Danio rerio: one gene and its partner. The protein of the gene in region 1 interacts with the protein of each later gene in a pairwise test. Links are inferred from orthologs where the notes say so. Each region holds a gene or a part of one and is shown in the gene's direction. Other genes may lie near its edges.

Evidence for each region.
Region 2: the proteins of mcm3ap (region 1) and mcm3l interact in a two-hybrid assay, tested with the Homo sapiens proteins (2 studies listed by BioGRID). The link is inferred for Danio rerio from reciprocal best matches to the Homo sapiens genes MCM3AP and MCM3.

Annotation. Positions count from the first base shown.
Region 1 is NC_133184.1:40,169,496-40,173,473, forward strand, and holds the start of mcm3ap (germinal-center associated nuclear protein), read left to right. Parts: upstream 1-1,178; 5' UTR 1,179-1,208; exon of another isoform or gene 1,209-1,230; intron 1,231-1,498; 5' UTR 1,499-1,576; coding exon 1,577-2,921; intron 2,922-3,978. Other genes in the region: cyp27a1.4 (cytochrome P450 27A1.4), read left to right, coding at 76-276, 359-487.
Region 2 is NC_133195.1:6,679,208-6,688,172, reverse strand, and holds the start of mcm3l (MCM3 minichromosome maintenance deficient 3 (S. cerevisiae), like), read left to right. Parts: upstream 1-171; 5' UTR 172-290; coding exon 291-362; intron 363-469; coding exon 470-582; intron 583-2,404; coding exon 2,405-2,613; intron 2,614-3,651; coding exon 3,652-3,782; intron 3,783-4,749; coding exon 4,750-4,988; intron 4,989-5,058; coding exon 5,059-5,167; intron 5,168-5,724; coding exon 5,725-5,878; intron 5,879-6,288; coding exon 6,289-6,420; intron 6,421-7,880; coding exon 7,881-8,089; intron 8,090-8,194; coding exon 8,195-8,369; intron 8,370-8,965. UniProt on the Homo sapiens protein: Acts as a component of the MCM2-7 complex (MCM complex) which is the replicative helicase essential for 'once per cell cycle' DNA replication initiation and elongation in eukaryotic cells.

The DNA of each region.
Region 1 (3,978 bases):
AACAAAATGTTGTCCATTTTGTAATCAACATCACTAAATACAATTATTTTTTTTCTTTTTCGTTTGTTGAAATAGACCACATTTAATCTGTTCCACTATGCAATCAGCCACGATGAAAAAGTCTTCCCAGAACCACAGAAGTTCAAACCTGAGCGCTGGCTGCGAGACGGCAGAACCAGACCAAACCCGTTTGGGTCAATCCCATTTGGATTTGGAGTCAGAGCCTGTGTCGGTCGTCGCATTGCTGAACTGGAAATGCATCTGGCTTTGGCAAGGGTGAGATTTATTTTTCAGTTCTGTGTCAGACAGTGACATTGCATTATTATTGTGCTGTTTGTGATTGTGTTTTTAATTGCAGCTAATCAAGTTGTTTGAAATGCGACCAGACCCGACTGTAGGTGAAGTTAAGGCAAACTTTCGTTCAGTGCTTGTTCCCAACAAAAAGGTCAATCTGCACTTTGTGGAGAGACAGAAGACTGAAACATAGCTCAACTAGACATGAGCTGCATATGTACATAAGGAATTATCAGCTGAAGTGATTCATGTGAATTTGTCAACGGCTTTAACTGAATATGATTCTTCTGTTCTTTGTTAAAGACCCTGTACAAGAGTATGAAGAATATACTTTGTCACTCAATAATATTTATTTCATTCTGATAATAGCCATGAAAATATTTTATAGATGTAAAAATCAATTAAACTTTATAATGAATTCAAAATGTCTGTGTTCTTGTTCATTATTGGAGAAACAGGAATTGTGGATATTTGTTCATTTCACTGCAAAACTTTCATTTCTTGCATTTCTTGACAATCTGCTCATTTTGTATTAACTGTACTTTGCAAATGAATTATCAGACAAACAAATTAAGTTTTTTTTTTTGAAGACTTGCATTAACACAAATTCATTGTCCACAGCTTGTCTTATTTTTATTGTGGAATACATTAAGCATGCCATGTATCTTCCAGAAAAAAGTACAATATGTTTTTTGTGTTTGCATATATTGTTTATTTAAAATATTTAGCAAGTTGAATGCGTTAAAAATATTTCCACAAGGCGAAATGGACTTTTATTCAGCCTTTTATAATGAAATGGAGAAATGCGCTAATGTTGTCATGCTCCTGCCTGCCTGTACACGCCGCAGTCGCCAGAGACTCTCGTTGAATCGACGCGCCAGTTCACGAAGAAGAGAAATAAACATCCGGTCCGAGTAAGAAAAGGACGTCGCTAAAGTATTTACAGTTTTTACTCCTTTTTAATTTGAAATGTGCTTGACTTTTGCGTACAAAATATAGACTTGAAACACATACACATATTATAGGTTTTTAGGTAGTTCGTTTTGGAGTTAAACAAGTAATCGGCATTCAGCTCTCAGATCGCCATTTGTTTTTAACGATGTCCCACTTGAGCTTTTAACTTTACATTTAATAACTTCTGTCATGTGACTTCTAATAGATAAAATGGTAAAACATTGGTAACTTTTCTGTCTTTGTTTTGCAGGATTCGTTGGTAATGACTAGCTCACGATCAGATCAGTAACGTTAAATCTTAACGATTGTTTTTCTTGCCTCATCCATTATGAATCCTTCAAACATCTTTGGCAGACCACAAGCTGCCTTTCAGGCACCGAACACTAATCAGTCTGGAAACCTATTTCAGACTTTTGCCCAGCAGAAACCAACACAGGGTGTTAGTTTTGGCCAACCTTCTGCTTTTAGTCAGCCAGCTTTTGTTCAGCCAACACCACAGCCTCCAGTCTTCACACCCACTTTTGGCCAAACCGGCGGGTTATCTCAAGGATCGGGGCAAACATCATCATTTTCCTTTTTGGGAACACACCCTGCCTTTGGGCAGCCAAGTTTAGGTCAGGGGGGCACACTTGGATTTGGACAACCACCACCACCTTCATACTCTCAAGCTACGGGACAGACTCAGAACTCAGCTTTCGGTCAGCCGTCTGCATTCAGCCTTCCCTCCTATGTCTCGCAGTCCTCCTCAACCAGCTTCAGTAGCACTGTTACTAGTCAGCCTAGTTTTGGTCAGCTCTCTGGTCTTCCTGTACCAGCAGCAACATCCATCTCCTCAATAAGCGGCAGGGCTGAGAATCCCACAGGTGGGAATCAGTTTTCTTTCAAACCACCAAATGAAGCAGTCTTCAAGCCTATTTTTAGTGTCAGTCCGGAACCAACAAGCACGAATATGTCTTCTGCTTCAGAAACTGCTGGATCCTCTAAGGTGGTGGATAATTCCTCTGGTGGTTCACTGTTTTCATGCGTAAAACCAAGCGCTCTGGGCTTCAGCTTCTCTCAGCCGGCTGCAGCTCCTTCTGTTTCTCTCTCTAATTCTAATTTTTCACAAAAGGAGACAGTTGGTGGTGGCGGCAGTAGCATTCAGTTCACCTTCTCTCAACCTGCCAACCCGTCCAGCAGCAGTACATCTGCTTCTCAGCCCACGACTCCCTCCACCTTCAGCTTCACACCCCAAAGCCTTCAACCTCAGTCAGACACCAAAGTGCCTGCGTTTGGTGGTACTGGGATTGGACCCTTTGCTTTTGGGGTCCCAAAAACTGTAAGAACCGAAGATAAAACGGGTGATGGGCAGAGCAGTGGAGGGGAAACAGCTTTTGTGAGTTTTGGTATGAAACGGAAAGAGGAGCCTGCAGATGCAGCTAAAAGTGATCCCAGTGAAACTGGAGCAGACGGGCCAAGACAACCTGCCAAACGCCCACTTCTGAGAAGCCGTGTCATGGCTGGAGGGCTCTTCCGTGTTGCAATGTCTGACGTCCTAAAATCCAAAGTGAGCCCAGTCAAGAGAGAAGATAATCTTCCTGAAAGACCAGATCCGCCTGGTCCATCTAGTGATCTGGCCACTGCACTTCTGAGGCCTCAGGCTTCCTTAGTTTCGAAAAAAGCAGAAGATGTCTGTAAGTCTTTTCTTGTGACTTTGACAATATTAAAATTCAGATGTTAAAAAAAATTAATTAAATGCTACAAGGAAATTTGTTATGTTTAACAGCAGATTGCATATAACAAGAGTTTAATAAAAATTAGTAGTTTATTTTAAAAGCATTTTTTAAGATGGCAAAGATAATCTTAATGTTAAGAAGATTAAAAAGACACAACTGAATAGTATCAATTTCAACTGGTATAGACCAATATAAATATCATATATAAAGCTACTGATATGCCATGGAATATTTAAAAAGTCATTTTGTTACCTTGTTGAGGTCTTTTGAATAAGAGGAATTTTATGTTCTTTAAAGTGAATGTTTTTTTGTGAAAAGTTTACAAATCACAGCATTTGGGTTACACAGGGCATAATAAATAATAATATTTAAATATTTTTGAAATATTAATACAGGGCAGAGGGTTACTTTTTTATTATGTAAACAAATATCACTATATGTTTAAGACAAATGGCTGAAATTTAAATTTTTAGAATGTAGACCAGGGTTCAACGCTAAGGATTTGTTCTATTGGCTGTGTCAAATTTCTACTGACCCCACCAAAAAAAAAAAGCAAATAGCTATTTCTTAGCCGCATATTATAAACAATGTGTCAAAAGCCAAACATAACAGCATACACTTTTTATTCAGCATAACTTTTCTTTAATCTTTAAATACAATTACAATTTTGATGAAACTTAATTTCCCAAAGATAATCAAAAATAACGTCTGTGAACTGTAAATATTTAAAAAAAAATGTTAATAAATGTACAGTACCGGTCAAAAGTTTGGGGTCAGTAGGATTTTACACGTTTTAAAATAGGCTTCTCCTACTTACCAACGCTGCATTTATTTAATCAAAAATACAGTACAAATTGTAAAATTGTGAAATGTTATTGCACTATAAAATAAATGTTCAAAAGTAGTTTATCATTTAATTTAAACATTTATTCCAGTGATTTTAAAGATGATTTTTCAGCTTCATTACTCCAGTCTTCAGAGACGCATGATCCTTCAGAAATCACTCTAAAATTAG
Region 2 (8,965 bases), on another chromosome or scaffold:
AACCACAGTTTAACCATTGTATTTACAGTAAAAACGTGATATAGGCTACACATGGTTATCTGTTATATTTTTTACCATAATGAAAGCATGGTTCGAAATAGGGGTAGCTCTATTCAAATCAGTTGGATAATCACATGCTCAAGTTAATGAGCCTAATTAACATAATTGATTGTCAGGCCTGTTGCACCAGCTTGGTTTGGTTGCTTCATGTTTGTGCATTTGATTTTTGTTGAACTGTGAATGTTATTTTAAAATATTGTAATGCACATGCTGATGCGCGTGTAGGAGAAATGGATACTGGGTTAGAGGACCTCGAGCTGAGAGAGTCACAGAGGGAATATCTGGACTTTCTGGATGATGATGTGAATAATTTGAATAATCTTTATGTGTTTGACTTGTGGGCATTTTGAACTGTATAAACTTTGTTTTTTGTCTGTCAAACTAAATCTTTTTTTATTGTAATTTACAGCAAGATCAGGGCATCTACCATGAAAAGGTCAGGAGTATGGTGTCTGATGGACAGTGTCGTCTCATTGTCAACATTAATGATCTGAGAAGAAAAAGTGAAAAAAGAGCTAAAGAGTAAGTGATTAATTTGATTAAAAGTTGTCTATTTTGTTTCATATTTTGCTTTTTTGACAATTTTAGATTTTTTCTTTAACGTTGTTTGCTCTTCGGGATTTGGTCAGTAACAAACATGTGGCCAGATACATGTGAAACTCTGGTGTAAACAGCATGGTTGATGTACTATATGTTGCTCTGCTGTCTAAAATATACAAAAAAAAAAAAAAAAAACATGGAAGCTGCTAAATCACTTACTAAAGCAGAATATGGTGTAGCATTTTGATTTAACATGTGGTAAAGGATACATTTGACCAGATTAGCCTAATGTTACACTCGCTTGAGCATAAATTATAAGAACAAACATGAACGTTATCAAGATTCTTGCCATGGAAATCGTGAATTAGTTTGGTCAACCACAAACACTTTTTGTTCTTCAGACAGCTTTTTTTTCTCTCTTCTGCTTGACTTTACATGGCTTTCAGTATTCTAATACAATCTAATAGCAAAGCCCAAAACAATTGATCATTTTCAGCAGTAGTAAGCAAATAATATGATTCTCAGTCAGTTCAGTCACATTGTTTACGTTCTGTGTTTCCAATATGGCTGACTGATGATGTGTGATGAAAATTCTCTGTAGAGGAGAGTGGGGACAGTTGCAACACTTTTTGCAATTCTTTCAGTTTCTCGAAGACAATTTTATTTTTTTTTTGTGGAACCCCAAAATTTTAAAACAATAAACTCACTTCTGTTGGACAGGCACCCATATTGCTATAATATGTGTAGATATGTTAATAAATTCTTCATTTATTACTTAAAGAAAGGGACAATTGCAACATTCATTCAAATTATAATTTAAAAAAAATCTAAAACCTCGAGTTGGATTTTATTTTTTGGTAAACCCACTAAATGAAAATTGGTTAAATTATTAAATGTGTTGGCCATATAAATACAAAACCTTAAAAAAAAAAAAAAAAAAAAACGAGCAACATCCAATTATAAGGCCTAAAAAAACTGAACTTTTTTTTTTTTTTTTTTTTTTACTGAAAGATTGAACCTTTACCAAACTACTACTAAGAATGTTGACATGAATTAATTAATCAAATATTTTTTTCAAATTATATTAAAACTGTGATCAATAAAATTGTACATTTGTTAATATGGCAAGCTTTCAAATGAATTTTATAACAATTGGGGACAGTTACAGAAGCATGTTCAGCAACTCTGTCAACCTTGATTAAACATTCCATGCTAGAGAGATACAATAGCTTGTTACAAACGCTTGATAGCTATACCTATTTAAAGCTATGAAAACAGTGATTTAAATTATACAAATGAATAATGTTTCACAAAAACAGATTGGGCTGTATGAGAAATTTTCTGATCATTACAAAAAACTATTTTTTTTTTTTTTTTTTTTTTTTAAATACCTAAAATGAGTTTTAGACTGAAGAAATGGTCACATATGGCTGATTTCTCTTGGATGGAAGAAGGATCCAACTGACAATATGTAGTATGAATATCATCCCTCCATAGCTCATTCCTTAATGGAGAAATAAGTCTTGTTGTAACTGCCCCATGTTGCCCCCATTCTCCCATACACTGTAAAAAATGCTGGATTTCACACAATCAATTTGTGTTAAAACATCTCGAAGAAAATAAGTTAACCTATTAGTTTTTACAAATGGATATTGATTTAACATAAAACTGTTAGGTTTCCCCCAAAAAAGCTTGAATTGTGTTGTTTCAGCTTATTTTAAATAAGTAGTGGAAGCGGCAAATGTAATTTTGAGTGTATATCCTTGAATCTTTATTGATCTGATTAAGTGTCTCTTTTTAATAGATTACTGAAGAATGCTTTCGCTGAGCTGGTGGCGTTTCAGAAAGCCCTGAAGGATCTCGTGGCTTCAATAGATGCCACTTATGCTAAGCAGTTTGAGGAGTTTCATGTTGGTTTCGAGGGCAGTTTTGGGAACAAACATGTGTCTCCTCGTACTCTGAGTGCTCGCTTTCTGGGAAACCTTGTGTGTGTGGAAGGCATCGTGACCAAGTGTGAGTAAGATTTACTTTACTTATTACTTATTAAAGCAATTGTTTCGTCCAAAACAGAAAATGTTGTTCTCTTTTACTCATCCTTCACTTGTTCCAAACTTGATTGACCATCTGATTTTAGATGAACACAAAAAAACCCATCTAAATTGTACAACTTTTATCAAAAGGAAACCTTAATAAACTGTTTTAGATTTTTATCTTATATATTATCATTATTGTTATTTATTTATTTTACCGTGGACATTATTTATTGCTGTTGATTACTTTTAATTGTTAGAATATATTTATAATTATAAAAAAATTGGTATTTATAAAATGTGATAAACTTGATGTATTGTATTTTTGCCATGACATAGCCATAGAAGCTGAAATGGCAATAAAATTAAATCTCTCTCTCTCTCTCTCTCTCTCTCTCTCTCTCTCTCTCTCTCTCTCTCTCTCTCTCAACACAAAAGAAGATATTTCTTAGCTGTGACATCCTTATATTTATTTTTCCTAGTATGGAAGTCAATGGTTACATGCTTGCAGCTTCTTTTTTTAAATATTGTTTTGAACACAAAAGATGATAACAAACTCGTACATTGAAAAAGGTGTTGCATGCAGAACTGTTGCAAACAATTTGTTTGTGTTGATTTTAAACACATAAATTAAATTGAATCATGTTAAACTTAATTTGTTTGTTTAAATTCAACACAATTAAATTGTTTACGACCACTTAACGTAAGAAAATTTAGTAAATCCAAGGAATCATCTTTGAATTTTTTTTTTCAGTGTAGGTTTGGAAGCATGTGAGGGTGAGAAATTGAGTAAATACATTTTTTGGGTGAAACATTCCTGTAAGCGCTCATTTAACTGCCTATACTTGATGTTTGTCATTTCACATAGATAAAGTAATGTTCAGAATGTTACACGCTGATTTCTAAATTGTTTATCAGAGCTTTGAATATGCACGTTGCATATTATTTCTATATCGGATATAAATGTGTACAAGTGCATGTTTATTCCACTTGGTTGTCTTCATTGTCTTTCCATCTGTAGGTTCTTTGGTGAGGCCTAAGATTATGCGCAGTGTCCACTATTGTCCAGCTACCAAGAAAACCTTGGAACGAAAGTATACAGATCTGACATCATTGGATGCTTTTCCTTCTAGTGCCATCTATCCGACCAAAGTGAGTTACTGTAAATGGCGTTAAATGTTAGAGCAAACGACTCCCATGCGAATGGTCGCCTGTTCGATACCAGCTTGGAGCGGGTTGGGTGGTTTAAGACCAGCGGGGTTACATATAGTAGTATGTTTTTTTTTTTTTTGTTATGTCTGTCTGTCTTTCTCTCTGTCAGTTGAGAATATGTTTAATGGTTACATTTGATAATTAAATGTAATATTTACAGGCACAAATATTAACATCTTTATTTGTTCTTTGTTTACATATTTAAATGAATAAACTTCAAATTTTAAGAGTTTAAACCATAAATTTGATATTTAAATAATTTATTTAAAATTGTTTAAAGTTAATACATGCATACACTTGTTTAGTGAATATTTAAAATGATAATTTATTAAGCTTGTATTATGATGCCTATTTCAAGACACTTACTGAAATGTTTAAAGTTTTTACATTTAAGTTCATTTAAATTTGTTGAATACATAATGAAATAATTTAAATTAAGTTTAATAAAAGGAATATTTCAGTAAATAATAATATATTAATTATTAATTTTTCCATATACTTATGAAGAAACATAATGCATTTTGTAAATATTTACCTATATTTAAATTCAGTTCAAGTCAATTTCATTCAAAGCTAATTTTTTTTATTTAAATGTGAATAATAAATGTAATTACTAACTCCATTTTTTAAATAAGTAGATTGTTTTGTTGTTGTTTTTTTGTTTTATAGTCAAATAGTTTACATTTTAAATATGTGTTAAATATTTAGTTAAATTTTAATTTAATTATTTGTATCAAATAATCAAACGCCTCTAGTGGACTTTAAAAAACTTTTTTTTTTTTTTTTAACTATTTTGTCTACATTCATGCACATCACATTAGCATCTGTTTTTCTTGTTACCTCAAACATGGATGATGGTCTCTCTGTACATCCTGTCAATGTTTTTACTGTACTTTACTGTACATAGGATGAAGAAAACAATCCTCTGGAGACAGAGTTTGGCCTTTGCTGCTATAAAGACCACCAGACACTGACCATTCAGGAGATGCCAGAGAAAGCCCCCGCTGGACAACTGCCACGCTCTGTCGACATCATTGCCAATGATGACCTCGTGGATCGGGTCAAGCCAGGTGACCGCGTGCAGATCGTAGGTGTTTACCGCTGCCTGCCCGCAAAACAGGGCGGTTTCACCTCAGGGACCTTCAGGTTTGTTTGTTCAGAGTCCTACAGTTATCAATATTGAATCCCCTCAGAATAACATCTTGACTCTCTGCAGAACAATCTTATTGGCTAACAATGTGAAGCTTATGAGTAAGGAGATCGTACCCACCTTCTCTGGTGATGATGTCGCCAAGATCAAGAAGTTTTGTAAAGCGCATTCGAAAGTAAGATGACTTTAAAAGGGTCGTGGTGTGAAAAATCTATTTTCCTAGGTTTATTAAAAATTGCTGAAAAATGAATATCGTTATAAACTTTCTTCAAGCTGTAAGAATGAATTTAGGAACACAATGGTATATGATGTCACAGTACGTTCATTTGCATACTGCCTCCAGCATACAAGCTCCACCCAATTCCGCCTAAGTAAAAGACCCGTGCCTCAAAATCAGAGCTTTTCACAAAAATTGAACATGGATTTTCTGCATATACATGTCATTTATTGTTAAAAATAGCATTATTGAAACCAAATTAACAAGTATTAAAACAACTTGACAAACAAAACAAACAAAAAAAAAACTCATGCCATGACCCCTTTTACTGATCTGTTTCATATTTTTTTTTAAACAATTGACCAACTCTACCTTTAAAAAAAAATTTCTTACTTTCTTTCTTTCTTTCTTTCTTTCTTTATTTCTTTCTTTCTTTCTTAAAAAAAGCCTTTCAATTCCTTTTAAAACTCAGTCCTGATGGGTGTCATCCTTGCTACGGTGTTTGTGCATTTCAGGATGTTTTCGAGCAGTTGAGTCGGTCTTTGGCCCCCAGCATTCATGGCCACGAGTACATAAAGAAGGCCATTCTCTGTCTGCTGCTAGGAGGCAATGAGACCAACCTGGAGAATGGGACGCGCATCAGAGGAGACATCAACATTCTGCTCATAGGTCTGCATATGGTTTAATTTTAGAGTATTTAAATCATTTAAAATATCCTTATTAGTTTTTATATGTTTGTAAATTTGTTCTGATTTCTTTATAACTGTTTACTCATTTGAAATTAATCTAATTATTGTAAGACATAGAGAAGTTATCTCTGTGGTTATTTGTATAAAAATAATGAATTTGATGTACATCTAAACTTATAGATGTATTTCTATAAAATATTGTACAGAAATTATGTATTACTGTTCAAATTTCATTTATATTTGTAAATTGACCTTTATAAATTAAACATTTATGAATAAAAATATTTAGTATTTTAGTTTTTAGCTATTTAAATATAAATTATAGATTTTATATAATTAGAAATTTTAGTAGTTGCAAAGTGCACTAGTTTCGGTTTTGTATTTTTTTAGGTGATCCTTCTGTCGCAAAGTCTCAGTTGCTGCGGTATGTTTTGTTCACGGCACCAAGAGCAATTCCCACCACTGGACGGGGCTCATCTGGGGTGGGTTTGACAGCGGCGGTCACGACTGATCAGGAGACAGGTAACACTTAATTTTTAGTTGTTGTCATGTTCATCTTATTTTTTTTCTACCCTTAATTTCCTTCTGTAAAGGTATCAAATTAATTTCTTCTTTCACCTTTTTGAGCTTTTTTGTTTTTCAGTTTTTTTTTTAAACCCTCTGATACCAGATTTTCAAATAAATGTTTCCTAATAAACCACAAATCAATGAAAAGCTTTTATTTATTTTGGCTTTCAGATTATGTATGAATCTCGATTTACAAAAATAACAGTTATGACTGGTTTTCTGGTCCAGGGACACATACTGTACATAGCCCGGCTGTTAACTAACCCTTAAGCCCAACCTGCTCTGGTTAGACTCATTTTTACAAGTCATACACTCGAAATACGAAATAAAGGTACAAGATATTATATTTATTTATTTATTTATTTATTTATTTTTGAGTTAAAATCCAATTCAATGGTCTATGCGAGGCTAAAAGGTAACAAAACTGACTAAATGAATTCAAAAATAATAAAGCTCAGCTGTTTAACTCTACACTCTCAGAAATAAAGGTACAAGAGCTGTCACTGGGAAAGTACCTTTACAAAAGATACATATTTGTACCTGAAAAGTCCATATTAGTACTTCAAAGGTACATTTTAGGTGCATTTGGGTACTGATATGTATCTTTGAGGTACCACAAAGGCTGCTTTAGGTACAAATATGTAAAGGTACTTTCCCAATGATAGCTCTTGTACCTTTATTTCTTGAGAGTGTAGAGTTAAACAGCTGAGCTTTATTATTTTTTTAATTCATTCAGTCAGTCTGGATATATATATATATATATATATATATATATATATATATATATATATATATATATATATATATATATATATATATATATATATATATATATATATATATATATATATATATATATATATATATATATATATATATATATATATATATATAAAGAATCGACTTGCGTGTTGTAAAACCAACAGAAAATAAGAAGTTGCTATTTTCTAGGTCAATGTGGCTAAAAACTATACTCTCAATCCAGCATAATAATCAAGGAACTTTGATTCAATACCATGCCTGAAGCAAACACAATATTACATAGTGCTTGAAAATAGTCCACAGCTAACTAGGTAACAGCCCTGCATAATATTATTGTAAGTGCAGCAGCCACAATACACAATGTAACTCAAGAATAGAATAAGTAGAGTCAAGTGTATAATTGGAAAATTATCAAAACACTTTTTTTTATTATTTGAGTGAGATTCTAATGGTCTAATCTGATTCAATGATCTATGCTAAGCTAAAAATGCTCCTGCCAGACCTGGAGATCCGCTGAATGGATTTTTAAAAATTTTTTACAGGAGTTGTAAAATGAGCCTATTTCCAAAAAAGTGCAGTGTTTCTTTTTTAATTTAGCATGATGCAAGGAAGCTGAGAATGAATTTGTGCCTGTTCTCCTCTGGCTGTTGCAGGTGAGCGCCGTCTGGAGGCAGGAGCTATGGTGCTTGCTGACAGAGGTGTGGTTTGCATTGATGAGTTTGATAAGATGTCAGACATGGACCGAACCGCCATCCATGAAGTGATGGAGCAGGGCAGGGTCACCATTTCCAAAGCTGGGATTCAGGCAAGGCTGAACGCTCGCTGCAGTGTGTTAGCTGCTGCTAATCCAGTGTACGGAAGGGTAAATATTGATTGGTGGCTTGACTGGTATAAGTACTTTCTATTAAGAATTGAGAATTTAATATTCTGTTAATTCTAATGTGTTCAATTGGGTTAATTTATCAAGTATGACCAGTATAAGACCCCCATGGAGAACATCGGGCTCCAGGATTCCTTGCTTTCCAGATTTGATCTGCTCTTCATAGTTCTGGATCAGATGGATCCTGACAGTGATAAGGAGATCTCTGAGCATGTGTTGCGTATGCATCGCTACAGAGCACCGGGAGAAGCAGAGGGAACAGGTGAGACTGACCTCTGCTGGACAAAACACAACCACCTCTAGAGATGAGTGGAGATAAGTGCTAGAAGCTTGTTGTTGTTTGGCATAAGTTCAATTGCTTGTAAAGAACAATTATGGTGGAATTACAAGCTGATAACTTTGATAGGTTTTTTTTCTCTCTCAGAATTGACAATTTCAAGTTTACATTTTAAGTTGTTTTTTTTTTTTTTTGCATTTCTGAATTTTCTTTTTTTCTTGTAAGCTATTACTTTGTAATCGAGTTTGTAACTTGCAATTTTGTGCTAACATTTTATAAATATGGAATTTTCCTTTTTTTTTTTTGACTCCAGTTGAGTATACACCCCCCACCCCTTTAGAATTGCAAGTTACATTTATCACCATTTTAATTTTATTTGGTTTTTACAGTTCTGAGAAGAGAAGTCGTAATTATGGGGTGGAAAAACACTAATCAAAGGATTTTTTTTTTTACTACTTTATTCAAATGTAGCGTTCACCAGTATAGAATAAATGTAAAAACACAACCTTTTTATTTATTTTTATATATATATATATATATATATATATATATATATATATATATATATATATATATATATA